Linked DNA regions of Caenorhabditis elegans. The protein of the gene in region 2 purifies or fractionates together with the protein of the main gene of each other region. This does not show direct contact. Each region holds a gene or a part of one and is shown on either strand. Other genes may lie near its edges.

What was found.
Region 1: the proteins of glrx-10 (region 2) and Y53G8B.1 fractionate together in Caenorhabditis elegans (co-fractionation; one large-scale study listed by BioGRID). This does not show direct contact.
Region 3: the proteins of glrx-10 (region 2) and gst-43 fractionate together in Caenorhabditis elegans (co-fractionation; one large-scale study listed by BioGRID). This does not show direct contact.

The regions. Positions count from the first base shown.
Region 1 is NC_003281.10:3,127,342-3,131,096, reverse strand, and holds the start of Y53G8B.1 (maleylacetoacetate isomerase), read right to left. Parts: upstream 1,821-3,755; 5' UTR 1,753-1,820; coding exon 1,689-1,752; intron 1,195-1,688; coding exon 1,130-1,194; intron 1,084-1,129; coding exon 910-1,083; intron 747-909; coding exon 666-746; intron 232-665; coding exon 92-231; intron 39-91; coding exon 1-38.
Region 2 is NC_003279.8:1,047,903-1,051,233, reverse strand, and holds glrx-10 (Glutaredoxin-1), read right to left. Parts: upstream 1,639-3,331; 5' UTR 1,632-1,638; coding exon 1,548-1,631; intron 830-1,547; coding exon 596-829; 3' UTR 507-595; downstream 1-506. Other genes in the region: Y34D9A.8 (Low-density lipoprotein receptor domain class A), read left to right, coding at 105-310; Y34D9A.7 (PSP proline-rich domain-containing protein), read right to left, coding at 3,048-3,278.
Region 3 is NC_003279.8:2,899,528-2,903,282, reverse strand, and holds gst-43 (maleylacetoacetate isomerase), read right to left. Parts: upstream 1,959-3,755; 5' UTR 1,943-1,958; coding exon 1,882-1,942; intron 1,841-1,881; coding exon 1,776-1,840; intron 1,129-1,775; coding exon 949-1,128; intron 903-948; coding exon 822-902; intron 620-821; coding exon 483-619; intron 430-482; coding exon 309-429; 3' UTR 277-308; downstream 1-276. Other genes in the region: copa-1 (Coatomer subunit alpha), read left to right, coding at 2,482-2,527, 2,580-3,585.

The DNA.
Region 1 (3,755 bases), on a different chromosome or scaffold from region 2:
GAGTAATTATTGGGTAGGGCGTCATGTCCACGTGGTATCTGGCAATTTTTTTTTGAACAAAAATGTGCTTTTTTAAATAATTTTTCCTTACTTTTCTATAGCATTATACACAATTGATGGAAGACAAATATCAGCGATAGAAATTTGATTTCCGACGCAAAAATCTCCAGAGTGCATTTGCAGGAGCTCTTCGAGAGCCTTGAATCCTTTGCTGATGAAGTGTTGGCACCACTGGAAAAATTCACTTTTTAAAGAATTTTTTATTGATTTCTTGAAGTTAAGAGTATAAAAGGAAAAATTAATTCAATTATCGAATTCAGTGCATTAAGAGCTTAAAAAAGTATAATTATAAAAAGTATTATAAATATATAAAAAGTATAATACACAATAGCTACCGCAACCCTGAGGGGTTTCGTGGCAAGACCCCAATATGGGTATCATCTTGAAGCTCTTGGTGAGCTGAATATAAAATTCGTATTTGAAAATCTAAAAAGTTAGGTCTCGACGAGGAAACTGCGAAGTTTTTTTTTTCAAAAAAAAAAAACAAATTTTTATATAAATTTTTTTGGAATTTTTTTTAGAAATTGCTTTAAATTTTCAGATTTTTAGGAATTTTTTTACACCTACAAATACTAACTACTCTATAAAATTTTTTTTGAACTCACAAAATCCCCATAGCCGGGCTCTTTCTCATTGAGCATCAGGTAGATCGGCTTGTTTTGCAGAGGCTGGATATTTGAGGCGATCTGAAATTTTTCTATTATAGCAAAATCGAGAAATTATTTCTGGTCTCACCGCGAAAACAAACCTACCTATTTTGTGGGGGTCTTGGTGAACTTAATTCGAATTTTAAAAATTTTAATACGAAAATAACACAGTTTAATATGTCTATAAATGCAACAAACATACATGAAAAGCAATAGCTCTCGCGCGAGCTTTGAGCTCGGGCTCTTTCGGCAAAAGTGGTGGGTCTGGGTAGATTTCATCGAGATATTCGATTATTGCCATGCTTTCTGTCAGAGTTAGACCGTTGATTTTCAGAATTGGAACTTTTTCCGCAGGATTGTTCCCATGGAATTCTTGCTGAAAATGGAAAAACTTGGAGTTAGGAGCAAAATTTAAAATTTACCTCTTTCTGTTTGTTCAGCAAGTTCACGGGTTGATATTCATAGTCGATCTTTTTCAGAGCAAGAGCTGAAAAAATTTAAAAAAATCCCATATTTTTTTTTGTCTTCTGAAGTTCAGTTACCTGCTTAGATATAGACCTCAAAAATTCCTATATTTTGTTAGTTAAAATTTTTTCGATAGCTCTTCTCCCCGCTGAGATATGCGCGTTTTAAGTTTAGGCAGCGAGAGAGTGTGGAGGGAGGGGAGACGCAGGTGGCACTAGTTGTCTGCGTCTCTCCCCCTTCCACAATGTTTCTTCACGTCAACTTTAAAGGCGCATAACTCTGCCGAGGAAAGAGGTACGAAAAAGTTGTAAACTGGCAAAATATAGCCCTTAAAATATCCAACATTTTGTTGATTGACAATTTTTGATAACTTCGCACTCTGCAGAGATATGCGCCTTTGAAAATTAGACAGCCTCTGCGTCTCCCCTCCCTCCATACTCTCTCACCTTCTTGACTTTAAAGACGCATAGTTCAACAGTAAATCAGGATTTACAGATTTTTTTTTGGAAAACTCACCAGTTCTAACTCTTGACGAACATCCTGAACTCCAAGAGGAGTACAATATAGGTTTTGCTGCCATTTTCTAAAGAAAGTCAATGTGTTTGTGACAATTTTGGAGAAAAGTGATAGTGATGAATGATAATGAATGATAAAGGTCAATAACATGTTTAGGTGAGAAATCGGTGATGTTTGGTAGCAAAACACAAGGTGTAATGATGTTTTAGGTGTAACTTTGCAATGAAGAAAGTTATCAAAAAAATTGTTGACTATTAAAATATAGCCCTTGAAATTTCCTATATTTTATTGGTTGACAACTTTTTTTTAACATTGATAGAAACAGAGATACAAAGGGCTGAAACTGCACGGGTTGTTGCCTGCGTCGCTCCCCGCCCATTCAGTACTTCTTTTTTCAAACGTTAATATCTCTGCTAGGAAAACTGTTCTAGAAAAGGTGCAAACTGAAAAAATATAGCCCTTGAAATTTCCTATATTTTATTAGTTGACAACTTTTTCTAAGTTTTTTTCCCTGCAGAGATATGTATCTTTGAAAATTTGTAGGTGAAAGAACGCGCAAATTTTTTGATGTCTAACTTGTGCCCAATTTCTTACCACAAAACATATTCTGATTATGTTCTCTGACCTGATGTTTGCTCATATCTTATTTTTTCAAATAATACTGGTTTCTAGTTGGAGGCCCCGAAACGTTAAGAAAAAAAATTTTAGGAAAAAAAAAATTGACTTTGATCATTGCCTCCTTATCAGTTTTAACGTACATTCCATAATTTCTTAACATTTTCTTATCACTAAGTGACTAAGTTTGCTCTGAGAGCACATTTTCAGCTAGCAAACCTACATTTTCTTACAATTTTCCCTCGAAATTGTAATTTCGAAACTCTTAAACGGGTAACAATCGAACAAGAATCAAAATTTTAACCAAATTTTAACAATTCAATGTAGCCCTCAAAATTTCCTATATTCTGTCAGTTAAAAACTTTTTATTTCTCTTCTCTCCGTTGAGATATCCGCCTTTAAAATTGACGCCATAAAATAGTGTAGAAGGGGGAGAGACGGAGACAGCGCGCGCTGCCTGCGTCTCCCCTCCCTCCACACTTTCTCGCTGCCTAAACTTTGAACGTGCATATCTCCGCGGGGAGAAGAGCTATCAAAAAACTTTTAACTAACAAAATATAGGAATTTTAAATGGTTATATTTTGTTAGTTGAAACTTTTTGAAAATCTCTCTTAGATTTTGAGATATTTCGGTTTCAACAAAGAATCACTGAAAATCGCTTTTGGATTTGAAATAAAGCTATTTTGGTTCAGGAAATGAAGCATTTTAGGAGAAAACCGCATGATATATTAGAGGACCACATTTTGATCTTTCAAATATTGCTTCCGGCAGATTTATACATTTTTATATATTTTTGTGGATGATTTCAGGGAGATTCAATTTTTTCCAGTTTTTGTAGATAATTTTAATTGCCCCATTCAAAAATGACTAACCAAACTTCCAAAAAACCAAAAAAAAACAAGAGACGATACGCAGAGTACACTGCGATAACATCTGCGTCGTCGTCTCTCTCCACACATTTTGAGAGACCGAGCGACGAGAGAGTGACAATTTGTGAAGAGAGTGGTGAGACGACGAGACACTATCGAATCGCCACCCCCCACACGGACGTATTATACAAGCAAAAAGCCACGTTTTGAATGGCTTAAATCGATTATAAAGTTGACAAACTGCTTGGTTTTTAGTCTTTTTCTTGAGTTTCTTATCGATTTTAAAGGAAATTTGTGGATTTTTATTGGTTTTTAAACAGAAACTAATAAATGCATTGAATTTTTCACTATTAAATGGCTGAAATTGCTGAAACAAACTTTTCCGCTCGAGACCCATACGATAAAACTGCCCCATGCTCCTTTAAATCCACAGTACCACTTTTTTCTTCTTTTTCTTTGGTTTTCTTGTTTTTTCTGTTTTTTTAAAGAAAAATATAAAATAGATGTTTTCCGATGAGTTTATGAAATAAACCCAATTAAAACTAATAGTTTATCAATTTTTAAGCAAGAGGTTTTTTAAGCT
Region 2 (3,331 bases):
TTTTGCAGTAAATCTCATGGTATGCGCCAAAAATTAGCCAAACTTCGCAACACACCGAATTTTACGCGCATATTCATCAAAAACCTTTTTTTTTTAATTTTCAGGCACCGTCACAATCCAATACTCGCACATTTTCTTCGCCTTTGTCGCGTTTTTCGTTCTCTCGGTTGCCGTAGTCGCTGTGATTCGTCGGCGATCACGACAAAAATCCGGATTTCGAAATCGACGTGGCGGCGGGCACGGGGGCCCGAGCATACTGCAACAGGATTCCGACGAAGACGATATTCTAATCAGTTCTATGTATTCTTGAATTTCGTTTTTTTTTTGGCACGTGGGGTGCCAGGCTGTCCCATTACGGTTTGATCTACAAAAAATGCGGGAATTTTTTGCCCAGAAAAATGTGAGAACTCTGCGTCTCTTCTCCCGCATTTTTTGTAGATCAGCGTAGATCAAGCCGCAATGAGACACTCTGCTAACACCACGTGTTTTGGCTGTACTACTTTTCTCTCTTTTCTCACTTTTATCTCGGGTTGTGTCATTGAATTATGAAGAAAAAAATAAATCAAATACATAAAAATTAATGGCGATTCAAATTCTATAGAGCTCCGGTTTCCTTGAGCAGTGCGGCGAGTTTTCCGTTCTTGGCTCCGGCCGCTGTGTCGTCACCGCCGCCGAAGAACTTGCCGTTGATGAAGACACGTGGCACCGAGCGGGCTCCGGTTAGAGAGCCAAGATAATCCTGAATCTCATTGCAATCCTTGCGCTCGTCGATTTCGATCCATTGCAGAGCGTCGGGCTTCACGTTGACCGATTCAAGAGCAGCACGAGCCTGAAAAATTGGGGTTTTTTAATTTTTCTCAAAAAATTATTTTAAAAAATGTATCCGAGACTCAAAAATTTTGCAAAAAAAAGATTTTGAAAATGGATAATATTTTTCTCAATTTTCACGGATTTCTGGCTTCCCTCATAAATTGAAATGGAAGAGTTTTTGCCGAACTAGGCCATTTGGCTCGGCCATATCTGGGGTAGATTTACGGCGCGTTGCGTGTCGCGTCGCGGCTCGATTTCAGTTGTAAAACTAAATGTATTTGTCCGTGTGGAGTACACGACACTTTCCCACGCGTTGTCCGGCAGCCGATTGTCAATGGAGCGCGAAAAATTCAATGAGGAATGCCAGAACCCCGTGACAGATTTTTTCGCAAATTATTGATTTTTGCCGTTGTCTTCAATTTTCCGAAAATTTCTCAAAAAAAATCGCTACGAGACCCAAAATTTCTGCATTTTCAGAAAAATACAGAAATGTTTGATTTTTAAGTTAAATTGAATTTGCAAAATTTCATACTGGTGCAACTGCGCTCTGTTGCACACGATTTTTTAAAATAATTTTTTTTGGAATAAATTTTTCAAAAAAATTGGGAAATTTCGCTGAAAATCCAGAAAAAAGCAAATTTTTTAGGACAAAATTGTTCAGAAAAATTTTTTTTTTTTTTTGATGACAAAAAGCAATTTTCGAGGAAAATTCAAATTTTTCAGAAAAATTGTGTTACCTTATGGCAGTACGGGCAGTACGATTTGCTGAATACGACAACTTTGGAAGATTGGAGAAGTCCGTCGACAAAGGCTTTTGACATGGTTTTTCTGAAATTTTTTGGTGTTTTTTCTCAAATTTTTGTTGAAAAAAAAAGGCAATGAAGTATAAGAAAAGCGTAGAGACAATTTGAATTTGAAAAAAATTGGGGAAAAAAAAATTAGAAATCACATTATCATCAAATAAATAATATATATATATATATATTAAATTTACAAAAACAAAATTCTGCGATATTATATAAAAAGGGAAAACATAGGCTTTAAAAGCAGCAAAAACTGAAGAAAATGATGATAAAAATGAGAGTGGAAATAGTGTATGGAAATGAGAGAGTGGCGAGAGAAAAAGAGAAACGGCGGCGACAATGACGTAAGAATCATGACAAATAGTGTTATTAGGCGAGGAAAATTCGGGAAAAAATACAGTTGTGAAATACAGAAATTTATAAAAAAAATTTTAAAGAAATTTCGAAATTACCGCCGTGCGGTGGAGCACAAATGCATTTTTGATATTCGATTAAAAAAAAATTTTTTTTTAATTTTTGGGCTTTCTAAAGCTAAATGATTTTTTTTAACTTTAAGGAGTTTTTAAAAAATTTAAAAAAAGGCCTTGCAAATGCGCTTCATCGCAAATTTGATGGTAGAGATGAAAAATTGGAGAATTTGAAATTTTCACGTGGTGTCAGAATGCCTCATTTCGATTTGATCTACTTTGATCTACAAAAAATGCGCGGGGACTGATTTCGCATGGTTAAGAAAGCGCTGACGTCACAACATTTTTGGGCGAAAAACTCCCGCATTTTTTGTAGATCAAACCGTCGATGGGACAGCCCCTGGCACCACGTGAATTTTGGGAAAAAAAATTTTTAAAAGGTTTTTTTAAACGCTTTTTATTTTAGACAAATCACTTTTTTTTAATTTGAAAATTAGTTTTTTTGCACCAAAAAAATTTCAAAAATCGGAAAATTTTGAATTTTTGGGATCACTTTTACTTAAAAAAAAACTCGTTAATTCGGAAAATTTTACGATTTTTCTGAAAAAACTCTGCAAATGCGCTCCATCGCGAATTTGCTGGTAGAGATGAAAAATTGGAGAATTTGAATTTTTGGCGGTACTTTTTGCCGAGTTTTTGAGAGAATTCATCAACTTTTCACGAAAAATTGATATTTTTAACGCTTTTTCTGATGAAAATTGCAAAAAAAACCTTTAAAAATTGGGCTAATAACACTTTTTTCAATTAGAAAATTAAAATTTTTGGGATAATTTTTTCCTTTAAAAATCCCATTAATTTGGAAAATGTTACGCTTTTTATGAAAAAAAAATTCAAAAAAAAAATTCTGCAAATGCGCTCCACTGCAAATTTGTCAACCATGTGAAATTTTAATTTTTAGGATAATTTTAGGATAAATTTAGGCTAATTTTAAAGTCGAAAATCCAAAAAAAAAAAAAAAATCAATAAATTATTCCTTCTTCTTCATCTCATCATCTCCACTATTTCTTCCAGTGATCCCTTTCAAAGTACTCATAATTTTTTTGAAAATGCCACGTGGCTTCTCCTCCTCTTTCGCCTCGAATGGCACAATGCCGACGGAAAACGCTTCGAGCGATGGTACAGTATCCTCAATCCACGTACCCGTGACGTCACGGCGGGAGAAGATCGGGGTGCCGATGAATTCCGAAATTGATTCTCCCTGTGGAAAAATATTGTTATTTTTTGGAAATATATCAATTTTTGAAATATATC
Region 3 (3,755 bases), 1.9 Mb from region 2:
AATTGCCGGAATTGAAAATTTCCGGCAAATTCGGAAAATTGCCGGAATTGAAAATTTTCGGCAAATTCGGAAAATTGCCGAAATTGAAAATTTCCGGCAAATCGGCAAATTGTCAAAATTCAAAATTTCTGGCAAATTTTGGAAAATTGCCGGAATTGAAAATTTCCGGCAAACCGACAACTTATCGAAATAAAAAATTTCCGGCAAACCGGCAATTTGCTGAACGGCTATCTGAATTTCAGGCAATTTCCAAATTTTTAAATCTTAAACATATAGTCTCAATTAAAAACTTTATTCATTGTTCAATATTAGTTTTTATTTGGAGCATCTGGCTGATTATCTGGATGAGCCAATTTGAATCTAAAATCTTCCGCCAGAATCTCATTAATTCGAGTAATAGTTGGATATTTGGACATGTCGACTTTGTAGCTGGAAATTTCAAAATTTTTAATTTAAAAATTCAAAATTTTGAAATAACCTACATTTTCGCATTATAAATTATCGATGGCAAGTTGATATCAGCAATTGTAAGCTGATCTCCAACACAATATTTCCCAGAATGCTTCTTCAAAAGTTCTTCGAGAGCTAAGAATCCCTTGTTCACAAAGTGATTGCACCACTGAAATACATTTTGAACTATCGGGAAACGCCTCTTGGAACCTATTGCGGTTTGATCTACAAAAAATGCGGAAATTTTTTTCACCGATAAAATGTGACGTCAGCAGCACGTTCTAGAAGTCTGCGTCTCTTCTCCCGCATTTTTTGTAGATCTAGGTAGATCAACCCGACATGGGACACTCTGACACCACGTGAGAACCCACAAAGTCACCGTATCCCGGCTCCTTTTCATTGAGCATTTTGTGGATATTGATTGCTTGAAGTGGCTGAATACTTGCGACTATCTGAAAAGAGCTCGCTTAGAGTTGTTAAAGAATGTTAAAAGCTCACATGAAGTGCGATAGCTCTTGAATACGATCTCTTATCCAATTCTTTTGGAAGGAACGGAGGATCCGGATAGGCTTCATCCAAATATTCGATTATTGCCAAGCTTTCTGTCAGTGATAAGCCATTTATCACTAAAGTTGGAACTTTTTTCGCTGGGTTGTGCTTGACGAACTCTGCATTGTTCTGAAATACAGCTATATTTCTATGGAAGTGGGAGTAGGGCAGGGGTGGATGGCAAATTGCCGGTTTGCCGGAAATTTTCAATTCCGGCAATTTACCGATTTACCGTTTGCCGAATTTTACCGATTAAAATTGAAATTCTGAAATTTCCAGAAAAAAATGTGCAAAACCACAAGTTGCCGAAAGTTTTCGGCAAATTGTGTTTTTCCGGCAAATCAGCGATTTGCCGTTCTGCCGAATTTTGCCAGAAATTTTCAATTCCGGCAATTTTCCAATTTACCGGAAATTTTCAATTCTAGCAATTTGCTGGAAATTTCAATTCAGGCAATATGCCGAATTTGCCGAAAATTTTCAATTCCGGCAATTTTCCAATTTGCCCGAAAATTTTGATTTTCATTAAATTTTCGATTTGCCGGAAATTGTAATTTTGGGCAAATTGCCGATTTACCGTTGCCAAAAGTTTTCGACAAATTGTGGTTTTTTCCGGCAAATCGGCAATTTGCCGCTAGGCCGAATTTTGCCGGAAATTTAAATTTCGGCACTTTGCCGATTTGCCGAAAATTTTCAATCCCGGCAATTTGCCGCTCTGGCGAATTTTGCCGGAAATTTTCAATTCCGGCAATTTTCCAATTTGCCGGAAATTTTCTAACCTTGGATTCTTCAGAAAATAAGTCGATTGGCCGGTATTCGTAGTCGATATTTTTCAGAGCAAGTGCTATAAATCAGTATTTTATAGAATTTCCAAGCTAAAATTACCGATGCGAACTCTCCAGGCACACGACGAACGCCAATATGAATATAAAATCGGTTTTGCCATGGAGTTAGAAGCTTCTAAAGAAGAAAATTGAAATATTTAAGCAATAAATGACATTTTGAGAAGAAATTAAATATGAACACGTGGGAAAAATCTTCAAAAACCCTAATTTTTCAGTTAAAAACTACTTTCTCCGAATAAAACCTCCATTTTCCTCAATTTTCAGCACTTTTTTATGTCAATTCCCACTTAAAATTCCCCTTTAACGGTCATTTTTCCTAAACTGTGCAGTTTCGCGTCGCCGTGTTTGCACACATTCCGTTTGATGCGCAGGTTTCCACGTTGTCCTCTTTTCTCCATTTTCTGTCTCTTTTAACGTGGATTTACCGATTTTTATCTCTGAAATTCTTAATTTTTATGGTATTTTTCGTAGTTTCTTTATCAATTTAATCGAAATTCCAAGTTTTTTCATTGATTTTTTGCATTTTTGTCTGTTTTTTTTAAACATTCTTATATATCCACGTGTCATTTCCATAATTTCAGAACCTTCATTCACGCCGAGGAGCAGTTTTTGACTGGTTACCGACTATAAATCGGATATCATGTCGCTCCTTATCAAATTTGAATCAAAATCCGCTAGGGTTAAAGGTAAATATTTTGGTTTTTGGCATTATTTTTCAATAATTTCCCAATTTTCCAGGAATTTCGTTCCACCCAACTCGGCCATGGGTGCTCACATCGCTGCACAGTGGAGTCATTCAACTCTGGGACTACCGAATGTGCGTTCTTCTCGAGAAGTTCGACGAGCACGATGGTCCAGTGAGAGGAATTTGCTTCCATCATGATCAGCCGATCTTTGTGTCTGGAGGAGATGATTATAAGATTAAAGTGTGGAATTACAAGCAGAAACGCTGTATTTTCACACTTCTCGGACATTTGGATTATATTCGTACCACTTTCTTCCATCATAAGTATCCATGGATCATTTCTGCGTCCGACGATCAAACGGTTCGGATTTGGAATTGGCAGAGCCGAAACTCGATCGCCATCCTCACCGGACACAATCACTACGTCATGTGTGCTCAATTCCACCCAACCGAAGATCTTGTGGCTTCTGCCTCCTTGGATCAGACCGTCCGTGTTTGGGATATTTCTGGACTTCGGAAGAAGCAAATGCCTGGTGGAGGTGCTCCAAGCCGGCCAACCGGAGGGCAACAAGCTGAGCTATTCGGGCAACCTGATGCAGTTGTGAAGCATGTGCTAGAGGGACACGATCGTGGAGTCAACTGGGTTGCATTCCATCATACCAATCCAATTCTAGTCTCGGGATCCGATGATCGTCAAGTCAAGATTTGGCGTTACAATGAGACGAAAGCCTGGGAGCTCGACTCGTGCCGTGGACACTACAATAACGTCTCATCTGTGATCTTCCATCCAAATGCTGACTTGATTCTTTCCAACTCGGAGGATAAGTCGATTCGTGTGTGGGATATGCAGAAGCGTACCAGTCTTCACGTTTTCCGACATGAAAATGAGCGTTTCTGGGTTTTGGCCGCCCATCCAAGCTTGAACATGTTCGCCGCAGGACATGACAATGGAATGGTCGTTTTTAAAATTCAAAGAGAACGCCCGGCTTATTGTGTCAGTGATAATTTGGTTTTCTATGTGAAGGGACAACAAATTCGCAAGCTCGATTTGACAACCAAGTGAGTAGTTTGATGCCAAGAAAAGTGTGCCGCAAAATGCATTTTTGCACAGAATTAGCGTTTTTTTTTTGCGAAAAAAAGCGTGCGAGAGTTGCGAAAATGCATTTTCCGGCGCACTGAATCATGTTTTTGTGGAGTCTCAGTAGTTTTTAAATGAAAAACTTTAAATG